3 linked regions of the Oryctolagus cuniculus genome follow. The protein of the gene in region 1 binds, or shares a complex with, the protein of each later gene. Links are inferred from orthologs where the notes say so. Each region holds a gene or a part of one and is shown in the gene's direction. Other genes may lie near its edges.

Region 1 (5,206 bases):
AAGGCCCTGCCGGAAGCTGCTACCGCTCCCTTGGGCTTCCCAGCCTCCCAAACCACGAGCCAAATCTTTTCTTGTTAAATTAGCCAGTTGCAGGTACTCTGCTGTGGCAACAGGAAATGAACTAAGCCGCCTTCCTTGGGCCGCTCTTGTCTACGTAATCCGGCTGGCACCAGGGCTGTCTGATGAATATGTAACAGTTCAGAATAGGTGTTCTGCAAATAGCTGCCTCTTGAGTAATACTAGAATCTTGCATCTCCCCCAGCTTGTACGCTCACCACCTGTGCAAGGTAGCATCCGGGACCTTAGATAAACCACCTATCGCTTTATTTGGGCAGAGAAAGCATGGAAAAGAGCACTGTATTAGTTTTTTCTAAAAAAAAAGATTTTATGGGGCCAGCGCTGTGGTGCAGCAGGTAAAGCTGCCGCCAAAAAAATATTTTATTTATTTGAAAGTCAAAATGACAGGAAGACACACACACAGACCTTCCATCATGCTATTGGGGTCGCTCATGAGGGTGGCAGGAGCCCATGCTCTTGGGCTGTCTCCTGCTGATTTCCTACGTTCACAGCAGGGAGCTGGATCGGAGGCAGAGCAGTCAGGACTACAACTGGCACTCAGACATGGGATGCTGGTGCCCCAGGCAGCGGCTTAGCCCCGCCACAAGACTGGCCCCCGATTTTATTTTTATTCCTGCCCTAACCAATGATCACAAACTTTTGAATGCTGGTCTCACTGGGCGAAACTCAAGGTGTCAGCGGTGGGCATTCTGTGGGGGAGCAGGGAGTGGGGGTGGCAATAGGGGGTGGGGTCATAGTTCACAGACACTTTTGGACCAGAGTGTAAACTGAGTTTGCACACAGGCGGTGGGACTGTGATACTAAGGGGCGGGGGAGGCTTTGTCTGTGAGGCTTTTCTTTGGCATTCACAGAATTCTCCAAATACCAGGAAGCTCTGCGGATCACTCGGGTCAAAGGACAAGGGGCAGCCCGTGCTCTGCCTGTCCGGTGAGGACGTAGGCGGCCACCAGATGGGACTCTTTCCTGATGACTGTTGATGAGGACGGTGGCAATGTATGGAGAGCATCCGACACATTTCCAGGGAGGAGCGGGTGAGGGGATCCTGTACTGACTGAGGCTGAGGACGGGCAATTCCAGCAAGAGGAATTCAGTTTCACTGAAGCTTCTGAATCAAAGCTGGAGGCAGAGGGTCCACGCTATAGAGGGCGAAGAGGCCAAGGACGAGCACCCCAGGGGGCAGAGGTCTTCGTAGGCGAATATTATATTTTACTTTTTCTAATTCTCACCCTACCAAAGGCAAGACCCAGTATGTCACATTTGTTGAAATGCAAATAAGTGAAGTAAATAAAAATGTGACTTCGGGGAGGAAAAAGAAAAAGCAAGCTGAGCAGGTTCCACCGAGATTTGAACTCGGATCGCTGGATTCAGAGTCCAGAGTGCTAACCATTACACCATGGAACCGCCACGCGTGTGCTGCCGGCTCCGGCCCTCTAATCCTTAGAGAACCCCGCCCCCATCGCACACCCAACCATCAGAAGCGGGTTCCACGCGCTCCCGCGCCCCGCTGCCCGGCTGGGCGGTGCCAGAAATGAACAAGAGGCCACTACGACTGGCACCAGCTGGGAAGCCGGGACTCAGGGTTTCGTCCTCTGAAACTCTTTCGGAGGGTGAGACTTGAGGACTGACGCTACAGCGGGCGCCGACGCACCGCCCGTCCCCGGCTGGGGGCGGGACGCCACCTCCCCGGAAGTACTTCCCTCAGGGGCTGGGGCCTGCCGGAAGTGGCGCAGCGGCAGGGCGGGGCTCTCCAGCCGGTCCGGCAGCTGAGGCTCCGCGCTCGGGTTACCCCTGCAGCGACGCCCCCTGGTCCCACCGAAGCCGCCGCTGCTCCCGCCCCTTCGCCTCTCGGCCGCGCCATGGGCACCCGCGACGACGAGTACGACTACCTCTTCAAAGGTGAGGCCGTGGCCCCCGGCCCTGTCCGCCCTCGGGGGGCTCGGGACACTCCCGGGGGACCCGCGTGCGGGCTGCCCCAGCCCCAAAATGGGCCTGCCTCAGCCCTTCCTTTCCTTGCGGGTCGTCCGGCCGTCCCCGCACGGAGCTTCCCACGGCCGCTCGCACCGGCGTCCCCACGGCCGCCTCCCGCCAGGCCTCGGCGCCCCTCGCTGTGTGCGTGTGTGCGCGCGTGTGTGCGCGCGTGTCCTCCCCCACCGCGGCCCCGCGCCCCTCCCGCCCGCGACCTCTCCCTCGCAGCATCAGCCCGGGCCGGCTCCATCCCCTCCCGGCCTTGGTGACAGGCCCCGGGCCGCTCCCTGGGCCTGCCCTTCGGCTCAGGCTCCCACCGCGGGGCTTTTCCCTGCGTGTCCCCTTCCCCCGCGCGAGCCTTTCTCGTCGCCCCTCCCCTCGGGCGGCCGCCCCCCGCTCCCCGGCTCGGGCCCCCACCCCACCCCACCCGCCGCGCAGCCTTCACGGGCCGGCCGCCGCCCACCCCCGAGTTGGGAACTCTGTGCCGAGGGCCGGGGGGCTTGTCCATCACCCCTGCGTGCACTTGTCGCAGTGGCCCGACCGGCGGGGACTTCCCACCTAGCCTTTTTTTTTTTTTTTTTTAACTCCTCTTCCGACCCAGCTGCAGCCAACCCGGGATCACTCGGTACGCGGCTCGCGGGAAGGGGTTGCGGATGGGTGGTGGCTGTTATCCCGGCCAGACCTGAAGGCCCAGTTCCTGAGCAGGAAAGGTTGCGCGCTGCACAAATACTAGCCTGCTTTATCACTGTGGACTGGTTGCTTCCTGCTGCAACCCTGGGAGGATCCAACAGGAAGGGAAGAGCCCTAGTGGGCCGCCTACCTTTCCCAAAAGGAGGGAGAGGGGACTTGTGTGCTCTTCGGGTCCATTTAAACCGTGGTGATCAGAGAGGGGAACGTGTGTGCCCTTGGACAGTACGTAATTGGAGCGTGGGGAGAGGCGAGAGGAGTCGGGGAGAATCCAGAGTTTTTGTTTTTTAATCAGCGAAGGTGAAGGGCTCAGTTCTCCGTAAGAGACGAGTCCAGTAAATGCTTTTTGTTCAGTGGCTGCGCTCGGCTCTGGTAGTCCTCCCTCCTGAGTGAGGGCAGCCATCAGTAGTGAGCTGAACAAAGATCATTACGGGGAGGAAGAAGCCATTGCTATTAAAGCTTTACCGTGGAGGCGGAGTTGAAAGAGTGGTGAGCACGGTGACTGTTTCTGACTTTGCCATTGGTTGCTTAGAATGATTGACCGAAGGAAGCAGGAACCATTGCTTTGCTTTACCAATACTTTTGCAAATCTCGGTGATAATATGCTCTTACCTTAGTCCTCCGAGGTGGAATATTCTATGTATAGGGTGAGTATAGGCTGGGTACCTTCGATGTCTACGACCTCCGTGTTGGAAAGTCATTACAGTGAAAAAGGCACTCGGTTCACTTTACAGAGACGAAAAGGAGACCTGCATTAGTTTGTGTACTTTTTGCAGAAGGCGTCGGAATTGATGGGAAGTTACTTCAGTCCCTGGAGCCTTTTGGGTTTAGTCATTAAAGGCAGGTTTTTGTTTGTTTTTCAAATCCTTTACAATGTCATGGGCAGTTAGCTACCTTTGAAGTACTTTAGAGCAAGGTAGACTCTCAGGGTTTTTCTCCTGATTGGTTTGGAACTGGAATGTTGGGGAAAAAAACAACCCCAGAATATTAGCCATCCTGGTTTCAGGAATTAGACCATCCTTGTAACATTGAGAGCACAGGGTTTTGGAACCACAGACACCTGAGTTCACATTCCACTCTGCTCTTGGGTTTACGACCTTGGGAAAGTTAAGTGTTTGGAGCCCCAGCTCTGAAGCAAACTCCGGGACTGGCTGATCAAGCCTGCCGGGCAGTTACGACTTTAGCTCCTGTGAGGGCTCAGTGCATTGAAGGAAGTTACTGTGGATCTTGTCCGTTTTTTGAACTTTATTTCTAAACGGAAGAGCATTTACATATTATTAAAGAAGCATAGAAGTAGGAACTTCAACTATTTTATGTTCATGGGTTAGGGCTTCATCTTGTTGTGCTGTTTAAAATATGGTGTTTAAAAATTCTGCTGAGGAGGATTTCCATGCCTTCGAAGCTCTTACAGGATATGAGTCACCTTTTTTTTTTCTTAACTTCAATGCTTGATTATTTAGCCAGTCTCTTTATTTATACAATTCTCATTTTAAAGCTAGGCAAGAATAATTTTACTTTAAAATGGTTTCCTTCTACAGAGATTTGGTCACTGAGATGAACCATTGCTGTCTCTACTTCAAAGAAGTCTTACCTAGCAGACTTAATAGCTGAAGGAAGTGGAGTTAATTTGTAACTCTAACCAGTTGGAAATGAAGGGTTGTTTGGATCAGCGTGGGACGGCGTGGTCTAAATGGGAATCTAATGTGGGGAGCGTAGGACAGTTATTCTAAATTACGTATTTGTTCTTGCACATTAATCTTCACTCAAGCTCAGCAGTGAAGCTTTTGGTTGGGGGGATTGGTTTTATTTTTTGAAGCTTGACTTTTTATTTTAAAAACTGCAGTTCTTTAAGTATTTACGCACAACATGGGTAAGATCCCGAGGGACACATAAATGAAGTAGGCAGCGGCTGTAGTTCCTGTTGACAAACACGGTATCAGACACCGGTCCAGTCTAAGTCACTTGTTCTGAAAGCATCTGGGTGTGCAGTCTTGCTCACCGCCCTTTCTTTCCTCTCGGTGGAGGTCAGTAGTAATTAGGCGTCAGCTGATTGTCAGTGGAAACAATCCCAGTGAAGGTAGTTGTCCTGCCTCTTAGTAGTTTTTCTTTCACAACTTTTGGTTGAGCAACTTGAATTCTGCTGAATCAGGAAAAACTTGTCTTAGACTTCAGCCTTCTGAATGCTTTTGATTTTAGAAAGACTTGGTGAGGTTGGACTGTGACATCCAGGTTGATGAAAACCAGGATGAAAATAAGTGGTTTCTCCTTCAGATGATAATTTTTAGAGCTGATGTACTGCGTTTGATGGAATAAATACGAGTTCTAGTCCAGTAAATTAGTTTGCAGGATCAGGTATAAAACTACAGGGGGGTAAAGAGGTGGAAATTTTTGTTAAATAATGGATAATTAGTACATGTATTCTGCTTTTATGGTATTTAGCAATGTATTTGATATATAGATATATATACATGTTTAT
Region 2 (4,664 bases), on another chromosome or scaffold:
GGAAATAAATAGTTTATATCGGTGTTCATTTATATTAGAACCAAATGGTTTAAAACACTGTATCACATGTGTCATTAAAAGAATTATATGACCACATTTTAATGTTAATATTTATTTTCTCACTGAGAAAAAGAACCTACGTGGTACTAGATTTTACTGTTTTAGGAGTAAACTAGAACCAATCATAAGATAGGATAATTTTATTTGACATTGTGAGTACTAGCTGAATCTGAATCATAGGAAAATATCAGAAAACTTGGTTTTATCTTCTTAGTCCACAGGAAGTACAAATTAAATTCCATCTTTGAAAGTGTTTGGACCAAATTGCTAACATGTAGGGGCATCTGTCACAAAACACGTAGTGCTGACGAGGATGCTGGTTTCTTTTCAAGATTGATGTACTTCAAGCTGAAGTAGCTGCACTGAAGACGCTTGTGTTGTCCAGTTCTCCAACCTCGCCTACACAGGAGCCTCTGCCAGGTGGAAAGACACCGTTTAAAAAGGGGCATCAGAGGAATAAAAGTACAAGCAGTGCCATGAGTGGCAGTCATCAGGACCTCAGTGTGATACAGCCAATTGTAAAAGACTGCAAAGAGGTAACTCGTCAAGGACTGTCCCCTCTGGCTTTCCTCATGCTTTCAGTTCTCAGCACTGAGTGTCGGTTGTGGTTTTTACTGGCAAAGGTTTGAGTACAAAATATGTGCTAGTAAGAGGGGGGAGGCTTTATCTAGAGCTGGCTGCTTTCAGGGGTTCGTCAGTTCCATTCTCCACCTGATTGACTGTGGAAAACCTGCTGGAAACTTGGTAGGCTTCTTCATCTCACTATTTCATCTAGGGAGCACACTGTCATGGCTTGTATGAAGGAGAGTGGGTGGTGTCAGCGATCTGCCTCATCCAGATTTGCTGCTGGAGTTTCTCCGTAACTCTTCCCTGAGACTGCACTCTCTCCACTTTTTTTTTTTTTTTTTTTGACAGGCAGAGTGGACAGTGAGAGAGAGAGACAGAGAGAAAGGTCTTCCTTTGCCGTTGGTTCACCCTCCAATGGCCGCTGCAGCCGGCGCACCGCGCTGATCCGATGGCAGGAGCCAGGAGCCAGGTACTTATCCTGGTCTCCCATGGGGTGCAGGGCCCAAGCACCTGGGCCATCCTCCACTGCACTCCCTGGCCACAGCAGAGAGCTGGCCTGGAAGAGGGGCAGCCGGGACAATCTGGCGCCCCGACCGGGACTAGAACCCGGGGTGCCGGCGCCGCTAGGCGGAGGATTAGCCTAGTGAGCCGCGGCGCCGGCCTTTTTTTTTTTTTTTTTTTTTTAAAGACTTATTTGAAAATGAGAATAACAGAGAAAAGAGAAGAGGCAGAGAGAGAGAGAGAGAGAGAAAGGTCTTCCATTTGCTGGTTCACTCCCCAATTGGCTACAGTGGCCGGAGCTGTGCCAATCCAAAAGTCAGGAGCCAGGAGCATCTTCCAGGTCTCCCATGCGTGTGCAGGGCCCCAAGGACTTGGGCCATCTTCCACAGCTTTCCCAGGCCGCAGCAGAAAGCTGGATTGGAAGTGGAGCAGCTGGGACTCAAACCAGCGCCCATAAGGGGTGCTGGTACTGCAGGCGGTGGCTTTACCCGCTACACCACATTGCCAGCCCCTCTCCACTTTTTTAAAACTATCTTCTAGACTACAGCAATAAGCACCCTCCCTACTCCGCCATCTTGGAATTCCTTACCCTTAACTTTGATTCAAGGAATTTGAATTGGGAGGAAAAAAGCTCACATTGATATCTTAAAAGGAAATCTATAGGAAAGCTTGGATATGCTCAGCCTTCTTTTGCCTTTGTGTAGACTGCTTGCACATCTGGTTAAGCGTCCGAGAGGCCGCCACGGCTGTTGTCAGTGGGGCGTTTATAGCACACCCAGCACTGTGGACCTGGTTGGTGTGGCGCTGTGTGAGGACCAGTGAGACTGCTCTGTGCTGGGGTGGTTGGCGTGTCTGGTGCAGGTGCTGATCTGGGCTGAGGGAGCCTGAGGGTCTGTAGGGAAGAGGACTTGGGGAAGATGTACTGTAGAGGGGCAGCCGGGGATGGCCAGCCACAGGTGTGGCTAGGAAGGCAGTGCCGGCAGGCGCCTCTGTGGATAGTTCAGGTGGTAGTTAACTTGATGTACCGAACTATTTAAATAAATGCTGAGTTTTAAGATAGTTTAGTAGGTTGTGTGTGTGCTTTTTTGTCTAGTTGCCTACACAGCAAGCATCTTGGCATTTTTAAACTAAGTGCCTCCAGGTTAATAGAACAATTAGTGTCAGCTTATGACCTCAAATCAGGTCTCACTCTTACTTTATTTAGCTTGACTCCAAAGTACTTGTTCATTAATTTCAGAAAATACTTATCATCCTTTTTTATATTCAGAACAGTACGTACCTGTGTCTTCAAAGGAGCTCCAACAGGGTAATGGCAGCATCAGTGGACACCGTCATGGATACTATGTGGATACTACTAGGCCCATCAGACAGTTTTCTTAAAAGTCAGTTTTCTTATAGAAAAGTTGGTACTGTGTATTATAGATAATTAAGAATGGTCCAGTTCATTATGTTAAATAAGGAGCATTTCTTTTTTAGTAATATTTGTATTATGTTTTGGTTTTACAAAATGGTTTTTTGTTTGCACTTTTTAAAACTTTTTTATGTGTTTCCTTTTGGCTTGTTTAGGCTGATCTGTCTCTGTATAATGAATTCAGGTCTTGGAAGGATGAGCCAACAATGGACAGAACATGTCCTTTCTTAGACAAAATCTATCAGGAAGATATCTTTCCGTGTTTGACATTTTCGAAAAGTGAGGTAACTTTTTTTTTTCCATGTTAATGGGAACACATTAGATTTGATTCTGTACGTTTTATGAAGTCCTGTTCCATATTTTAATATATCTGATATAAGTAGATTATCATGAAGTGTCATGCTCAAGCATTTTCTCCGTCCTGTATTAGATCCTAATGTCTTGGCATTTGATTACTGAATATCTTTCCTTATTTGAGCAGAGCATCATTCATACTGAGACTTGCATTGTGTTCAAGAGAAGGATGAAATGTCTATGGGAGTAGGGCTTATATTTTTTGATTCGTAGTCCAAGATTCAGCATAAGGAAGTTCTCTGTACATTCTGCTTAAGGCATTTGTTGAGTTTATCTGTACATGATGAAATCACACTTCTTTTCTTTTCTTCTTCTTTAAAGCATGAAAAATAATGCCCTCTTTGCTTAAGTCCCAAGGGTGTTAACAGGATAAAATGAAGTATGTACTAGGTTGATAGAAAATTTTTTAAAATTTTATACAGATGTAAAGATTAAATTTGTTCTTGCATGTGGAAGGTTTATCCACAAATATCCTGTCAGTATTGAAGAAATTTAATCCTGAGAGTCTTAGTTACGTCTTTCAAGGATTTAATTATAACATTAATTTGTAGGAAGAAGTTCAGATTAACTGTGTAACACTTTGGATAGGAATCTGTGTTGTTGTTTGTGGCCGTGTGCCTGGATTCAGGTGGGCCGTTCAGTGTTCGTAATCTTGGCAGGCTTGAGAAGTGTGCCTTTTTCATTTGTTGTTTATTGGTTGTGCCCTTTCCATCTGGGATCTAATATCTGATAATTCAGTGAATTACTTCGTGCACATATGTGCAAGTTCAGAAAGTAATAGCCATAACCAGCATATACTGCTATGTGATAAATGACCAACACACAAAAAAATTGCATGTGTTCAGTGGCATAAGGCATTAGAATATTCATTTTGAAGTGGCATTAACAGTGGGTATTTAGTTGTAGGTAGGGAGGACACAGAGACTGGGATTAATAACTTTAATCCTCCTCCAGGTCATGAGAAAAGTTATTTCACCATAACTGAATTGCCTTTCATAACAGTGCTTGAATTATAAGAGAAATCAAATTAAGATTATGCGATGTCTTTCTTACTTGTTGGCTAAGGCCAAGCTAGTGGAACTTGGGGGAAGAATCATGTATAAGATTAGATGACTGTGGAGTACAACGTTGGTATTTTCCTGCAAGCATAAAGTCTAATACTTTTCACTTTGTTGAAGCTGGCTTCAGCTGTTCTGGAGGCCGTGGAAAACAATACCCTGAGCATTGAACCAGTGGGGCTGCAGCCGATTCGATTTGTGAAAGCTTCTGCAGTTGAATGTGGAGGACCAAAGTAGGTTTTTACACCTGTGACTCACGGGAGCTACTGAGTTTTTGAAGTCTTATGTGTTGGAGTTGCTTGGAGTTGGGAGGCCAGAAGACGTAGCATTGAATCCTGGCTCAAATAAAAATATACTGGGTATGCCCAGTTTACAAGTGACTTTAAAAATGAGGTCACTTAAGAAGCATTGTTTTTATTATTTTAGAAATTGATACTTATAACCACTTTAGTAGAGCTCTTTCAAAATTAGACAATATAGTAGGTGAATGGTATATATCTGGTTCTAGAAGAATAGTTTGTAAATTGATTTTGATGAGTTTGATTGTTCTTTTTCCTCTTGTGTAAAGTATACTTTTAGAAGTTCCAAGACCTTCTAACACTGTATTTTGCATTTGTTTTTTGCCCTACCTAAGATAGTGCTGTTAAACATTATTACATATCATTAAAGGAATATGCTTTTAATAAAAAAATAATGAGACAAAATCTTTTTTT
Region 3 (4,069 bases), on another chromosome or scaffold:
CGGAGGGCCTGGCGGGGAGCAAACCAGAGCCGGACGCCGTCTCTGGTGAGTCGGGCCGTGCGGTGCGCTCCCAGGTCCCCATCCTCTGTGGCCGGCACGGAGGGTCTCAGAGCTCAGCAGGCTACGGCTTCCCAGGATGCTGGGGTCCCGTGAGTCTGGAAGTCATCCCAGACTGGTCTCCCGCGTGGCAGGCAGGGACCCAACAGATCTGACCTGGCTTCTCATGGTGAATCAGGAGACCCCTCCGGCACTGGCCTGCACCCCTCTTTTCTGTGCTACAAGGCCCATGGGCGCTTCCCCAGGACTTCTTTAGTTCTCAGGGAAAAGGGAACCATCATCTAAGCAGCGACTGTGTGTGAATTACCGCTCATTAATCCTCCACGGAGAGAAAGCTGGAGCCCAGAGAAGTTAGGTTACCACTCAGCAAGGTGTGGAGTTGGGGTTTGGATTGAGGTCTGAGCCTGTTTTGTGTCCCCAACGTTCCTGAAGCCCTTGTCATTTGGAGTAATTCTCTGTGGGAGCTGCCAGGCTGTTTCTAAAGGCGAGGGAGGAGGAAAGACCTAGTAACACATGGGCTGTGTGCGGGCTCCAGGAGACTTGGAGACGAGGCCAGGGCCCTGCCTCTGGGCCTCGATGGTCCTGGTCCCCAGGGCAGGCGGAGCTCCAGAGCCCTGCGGAGGGAGCAAACAGGGACCCAGGTAGGCACTGAGTGCATGTTTGCGGAGCTCAGGAGTTAGCGGGGGCTAACAAAGACCCCCAGCTGCAGGCTCCGCAGGGCCAAGTCTTCCAGTGGCTCTTGCTTTTCCTGTAGGGCCAGAGGGGAGCTGGCCAGCCTGGCGTGGGCGGGGCCAGACCCCTTCCTGTGCAGCTGTGTGTCTCAGGGACACAGGTGGACAAGAGGGCCGCTCTGCCGCTGATTGCTCTTCCAGGTGGAGGGCAGGGTTACGGGTATCGCGAGGACCTCATGTCAGGGCTCCGGCTGCGGAGAGGCTTGGCAGGGCCGCAGTGTGTTCCCTGCGCTGTGTCTGAAGCAGGGCACCCTGGGAGGGGAAGTCGAAGGGGCAGGTGACCGTCAGCACCCGTGTGACTGACTGTCCCCTCGCCCCAGTGGCCTCGGAGGCCTTTGAAGACGACACCTGCAGCAACTTCGTGTCTGAAGATGACTCAGAAACGCAGTCGGTGTCCAGCTTCAGCTCCGGACCCACGAGCCCGTCGGAGACAGCCGAGCCGTTCCCTGCGGTGGCGAGGCCCGGCAGCCTGGACCTGCCCAGCCCCGTGTCCCTGTCGGAGTTCGGGCTGATGTTCCCAGTGCTGGGCCCCCGCAGTGAGTGCAGCGGGGCCTCCTCCCCCGAGTGCGAGGTGGAACGAGGTGAGTTGCAGCCTTGCCCTGTCCATGGAGCCTCGCGCTGTGGCAGGCCACTCTGTACCCTTCCACCCCTCGGCTGGGTCTCAGGGTCCCCCCAGTGCCAGGCGCCTGGGCCCCGGGTGCGCCTTTGCCGTGCTCCCCAGGGGGCTCCTGCCAGAGCCCAGGCCCTGTGCTCTCCAGGGCTCGAGTGTGGGAGCCGCCCTTTCTGTGCAGTGGGCAGCCCCTGGAGCCCCGCGGGTTGAGTGGGCCTCCTGGCCCCTGCCCATCTACTCACTTGAGCTCTCTCTATCTCCCCAGGAGACAGGGCGGAAGGGGCAGAAAATAAGACAAGTGACAAAGCCAGCCACAGCCGGGGTCTCAGCAGCGGCGGCGGCGGCGGCGGCGGCTGCCGGAAGGGCCCGAGCAGCGTGTCCCTGGAGGGCCAGGCCCTGGAGAGCCGGGTGCAGCAGCTCTCCCTCCAGTGCTCCAAGGGAAGAGAGGGGCTCATTGCCGACATAAACGTGGTGCAGATCGGCTGACCCGGCCCGTGGCCCTGTGAATACTATTTATACAGGAAACTGGAGAGCACCGTGCCAATAGTTGTTCACTCTATGCCAAATCTTAAGCATTTACTTTGAACTGAACTAATGAGGTCTCAGCGACCTTGGGGGCTGCAGATTGTTCTGGTAAGACCCCTGAGCTGGCTGGTGTTTCGGAGCAGAGCTGCTGTGGCGGGTGGACTGGGCCCGGCTCGCAGCGGCCTGTGTGCCGGCGCTGTGGAAGCAGTACCGCGTTCCTGGGAGAGCTGCGGAGCCAGGCCCGGCGTGCACCTGCCCCTCAGGCTGGCTGGGAGGAAGGAGGTGTTCCCTCCCTCATTCCCCAGGCCCCCTCCCCATCCCCACTGCCTCCCCCAGCAGACACCCTTTTCAGGGTGTTCCGAGCACCGTTTTGACCCAGTGAAGGCTTCAAGAAACCGAGAACGGAGTTTGCTGTCATCCACTTCCTATGGCGTTCAGAGGCCGCAGAAAAAAGTCACCGGGAATTGCACTTTTGGGGGTGGGATGGATGAGTGCCAGGGCGGGGGCGGGGGGCTGCGGACGGAAGGGGCGTTTCATAGAATAGGAGGGAAGGTTCCACAGCAGAGACCTCACCCTGCCAGCCAGCCGATCTTCGACGAGAAGTGCATGTGAGGAATGGCTTCCACTGTTCTCCAAGACTGACCAGTGTTCCTTTCTCTGTAGGTTGTAACGTAAGGAAATTATTTAAGGGGTTTGCAGCACTAGAGTTCCTTAGAGGAAGCTGTTCCTGAAAGGGAAGGGAGTAGGCATGTGTTGGCAAAGGCTGTCAAACAGGAGCAGTGGCGTCTGGTATGCTAATAGTAGTGTTAAGACCGCTTTATCTTTCTTCCTCTCTTGGTTACGCATACTTAGAGCACCCTATTTTATTTTATTTTATTTTGGCCCTGTTTTGTTTCGGGAAATCCAGCATTTCTGAACGAGGGGAAAAGCAGCCTCTCCCTTTCAGGCTGTGTGTTACGTCGCAGCGTCTGCATCTTAGGCGTTTGCAAAGCTCTTCATACTGCGTGATTTCTCCTTTTTTATTCACTGATACAATATCCTACTTACAAGATTATTTTGTACTTGTCTTATACCTTGAGTGTAATAAAAACGGCTTAAGAAACCTTGTGTTTGGCGACTTCAGTTAAGAAAATCCCAGTGTTCTTGGCGCAGGGTGGGGCATGAAGGTGGTGGCCACCTGTTCTCATTTGTCACTCCTGGTCGGGAATCCTGACAGCAGGGACCCGGTTCCCCTTCCGCTGCTGCGGTGAGCGGCGAGCAGGCAGCGGGCGGGGATGAAGGGAAGCTGGCAAGCGCCGGAGCTGTGCGCTGCCTCCTCACCCCAAGAGGCTGCTACCTGGGAGTTGGGGCGCACGTGGGCTTCGGACCTGGAGGAAAACTCAGGTCTGGGAGTCCGATGGTCATCTTGGGCCCTGTGTCTCATGGAGATGTCCCCGTGTCAGTGTGCTACACGCTGAAGTCTGCTGTGGGGGACAGAGTGCGTGGTTTCAGGAAAGCTCATAACCCTTTGCACTGTGAACGAGAAATACTTTTTTCCTAGTTAATATTTCCTGTCCTACAGAAAAGCTCCCAGAAGGCCCTTCCACTAGATTTACAAATAAAACAGCTACTCAGTTCTCATGAAACCCCCTTGCACTGTGAATTCCCAGACCCCTTCCTGAATTACTGTCAGAAAAACTGCTCCCCGCAGTTGAAACATTGTTTCACTTTCTCCCTTCCAGAAGAGCAGCCACACTAGGAGGGTTTGCAGCTCCTCCACCTGTGTGTGGGTGGCAGATTTCTCTTGTAAATACACAGAAACCACAAAAATACATTTCACTAACTTTTTATAGTATTTTTTAAAGATTTTATTTATTTGAAAGAGTCACACAGAGCGGGGAGAGGGGGAGAGCGAGCGAGCTATCTTCCATTCGCTGGTTTACTCCCCAATTGGCTGCAACAGCTGGAACTATGCTGATCTGAAGCCAAGAGCTTCCTCCAGGTCTCCCACGCGGGTGCAGGGGCCCAAGGACTGAGGCCATCTTATTCTGCTTTCTCAGGCCATAGCAGAGAGCTGGATCAGAAGAGGAGCAGCTGGGACTAGAACCAGCACCCATATGGGATGCCAGCGCTTCAGGCCACGGCGTTAATCCGCAGCACCACAGCA

Evidence for each region. The genes of interacting proteins can lie anywhere in the genome.
Region 2: the proteins of RAB11A (region 1) and RAB3IP are in contact, whole or in part, in a crystal structure (PDB 4UJ5), measured with the Homo sapiens proteins. The link is inferred for Oryctolagus cuniculus from reciprocal best matches to the Homo sapiens genes RAB11A and RAB3IP. Residues at the interface, in NP_004654.1 of Homo sapiens: Phe36, Leu38, Glu39, Asp127, Leu128, Arg129, His130, Leu131, Arg132, Ala133, Pro135, Thr136, Leu156; in NP_783322.1 of Homo sapiens: Asn367, Thr368, Leu369, Ser370, Ile371, Glu372, Pro373, Asp412, Arg424, Thr428, Cys431, Asn432, Thr435, Tyr439, Leu444, Val445, Lys446, Gln447, Gln448.
Region 3: the proteins of RAB11A (region 1) and SH3BP5 are in contact, whole or in part, in a crystal structure (PDB 6IXV), measured with the Homo sapiens proteins. The link is inferred for Oryctolagus cuniculus from reciprocal best matches to the Homo sapiens genes RAB11A and SH3BP5. Residues at the interface, in NP_004654.1 of Homo sapiens: Tyr8, Asp9, Tyr10, Leu11, Lys13, Glu35, Phe36, Asn37, Leu38, Glu39, Ser40, Ser42, Thr43, Ile44, Phe48, Lys58, Gln63, Trp65, Tyr73, Ile76, Ala79, Arg82, Gly83; in NP_004835.2 of Homo sapiens: Asp42, Ile45, Gln46, Leu49, Glu50, Asn53, Thr56, Ile59, Asn60, Glu63, Thr64, Glu67, Lys240, Tyr243, Leu247, Leu250, Glu251, Ile253, Ser254, Asp255, Ile257, His258, Arg261.

What each region holds. Positions count from the first base shown.
Region 1 is NC_091443.1:88,885,267-88,890,472, forward strand, and holds the start of RAB11A (ras-related protein Rab-11A), read left to right. Parts: upstream 1-1,934; coding exon 1,935-1,974; intron 1,975-5,206. UniProt on the Homo sapiens protein: The small GTPases Rab are key regulators of intracellular membrane trafficking, from the formation of transport vesicles to their fusion with membranes.
Region 2 is NC_091442.1:72,360,543-72,365,206, forward strand, and holds part of RAB3IP (rab-3A-interacting protein), read left to right. Parts: intron 1-392; coding exon 393-596; intron 597-2,694; coding exon 2,695-2,823; intron 2,824-4,071; coding exon 4,072-4,184; intron 4,185-4,664. UniProt on the Homo sapiens protein: Guanine nucleotide exchange factor (GEF) which may activate RAB8A and RAB8B. Promotes the exchange of GDP to GTP, converting inactive GDP-bound Rab proteins into their active GTP-bound form.
Region 3 is NC_091435.1:150,921,394-150,925,462, reverse strand, and holds the end of SH3BP5 (SH3 domain-binding protein 5), read left to right. Parts: coding exon 1-45; intron 46-1,108; coding exon 1,109-1,369; intron 1,370-1,663; coding exon 1,664-1,884; 3' UTR 1,885-3,025; downstream 3,026-4,069. UniProt on the Homo sapiens protein: Functions as a guanine nucleotide exchange factor (GEF) with specificity for RAB11A and RAB25. Inhibits the auto- and transphosphorylation activity of BTK. Plays a negative regulatory role in BTK-related cytoplasmic signaling in B-cells.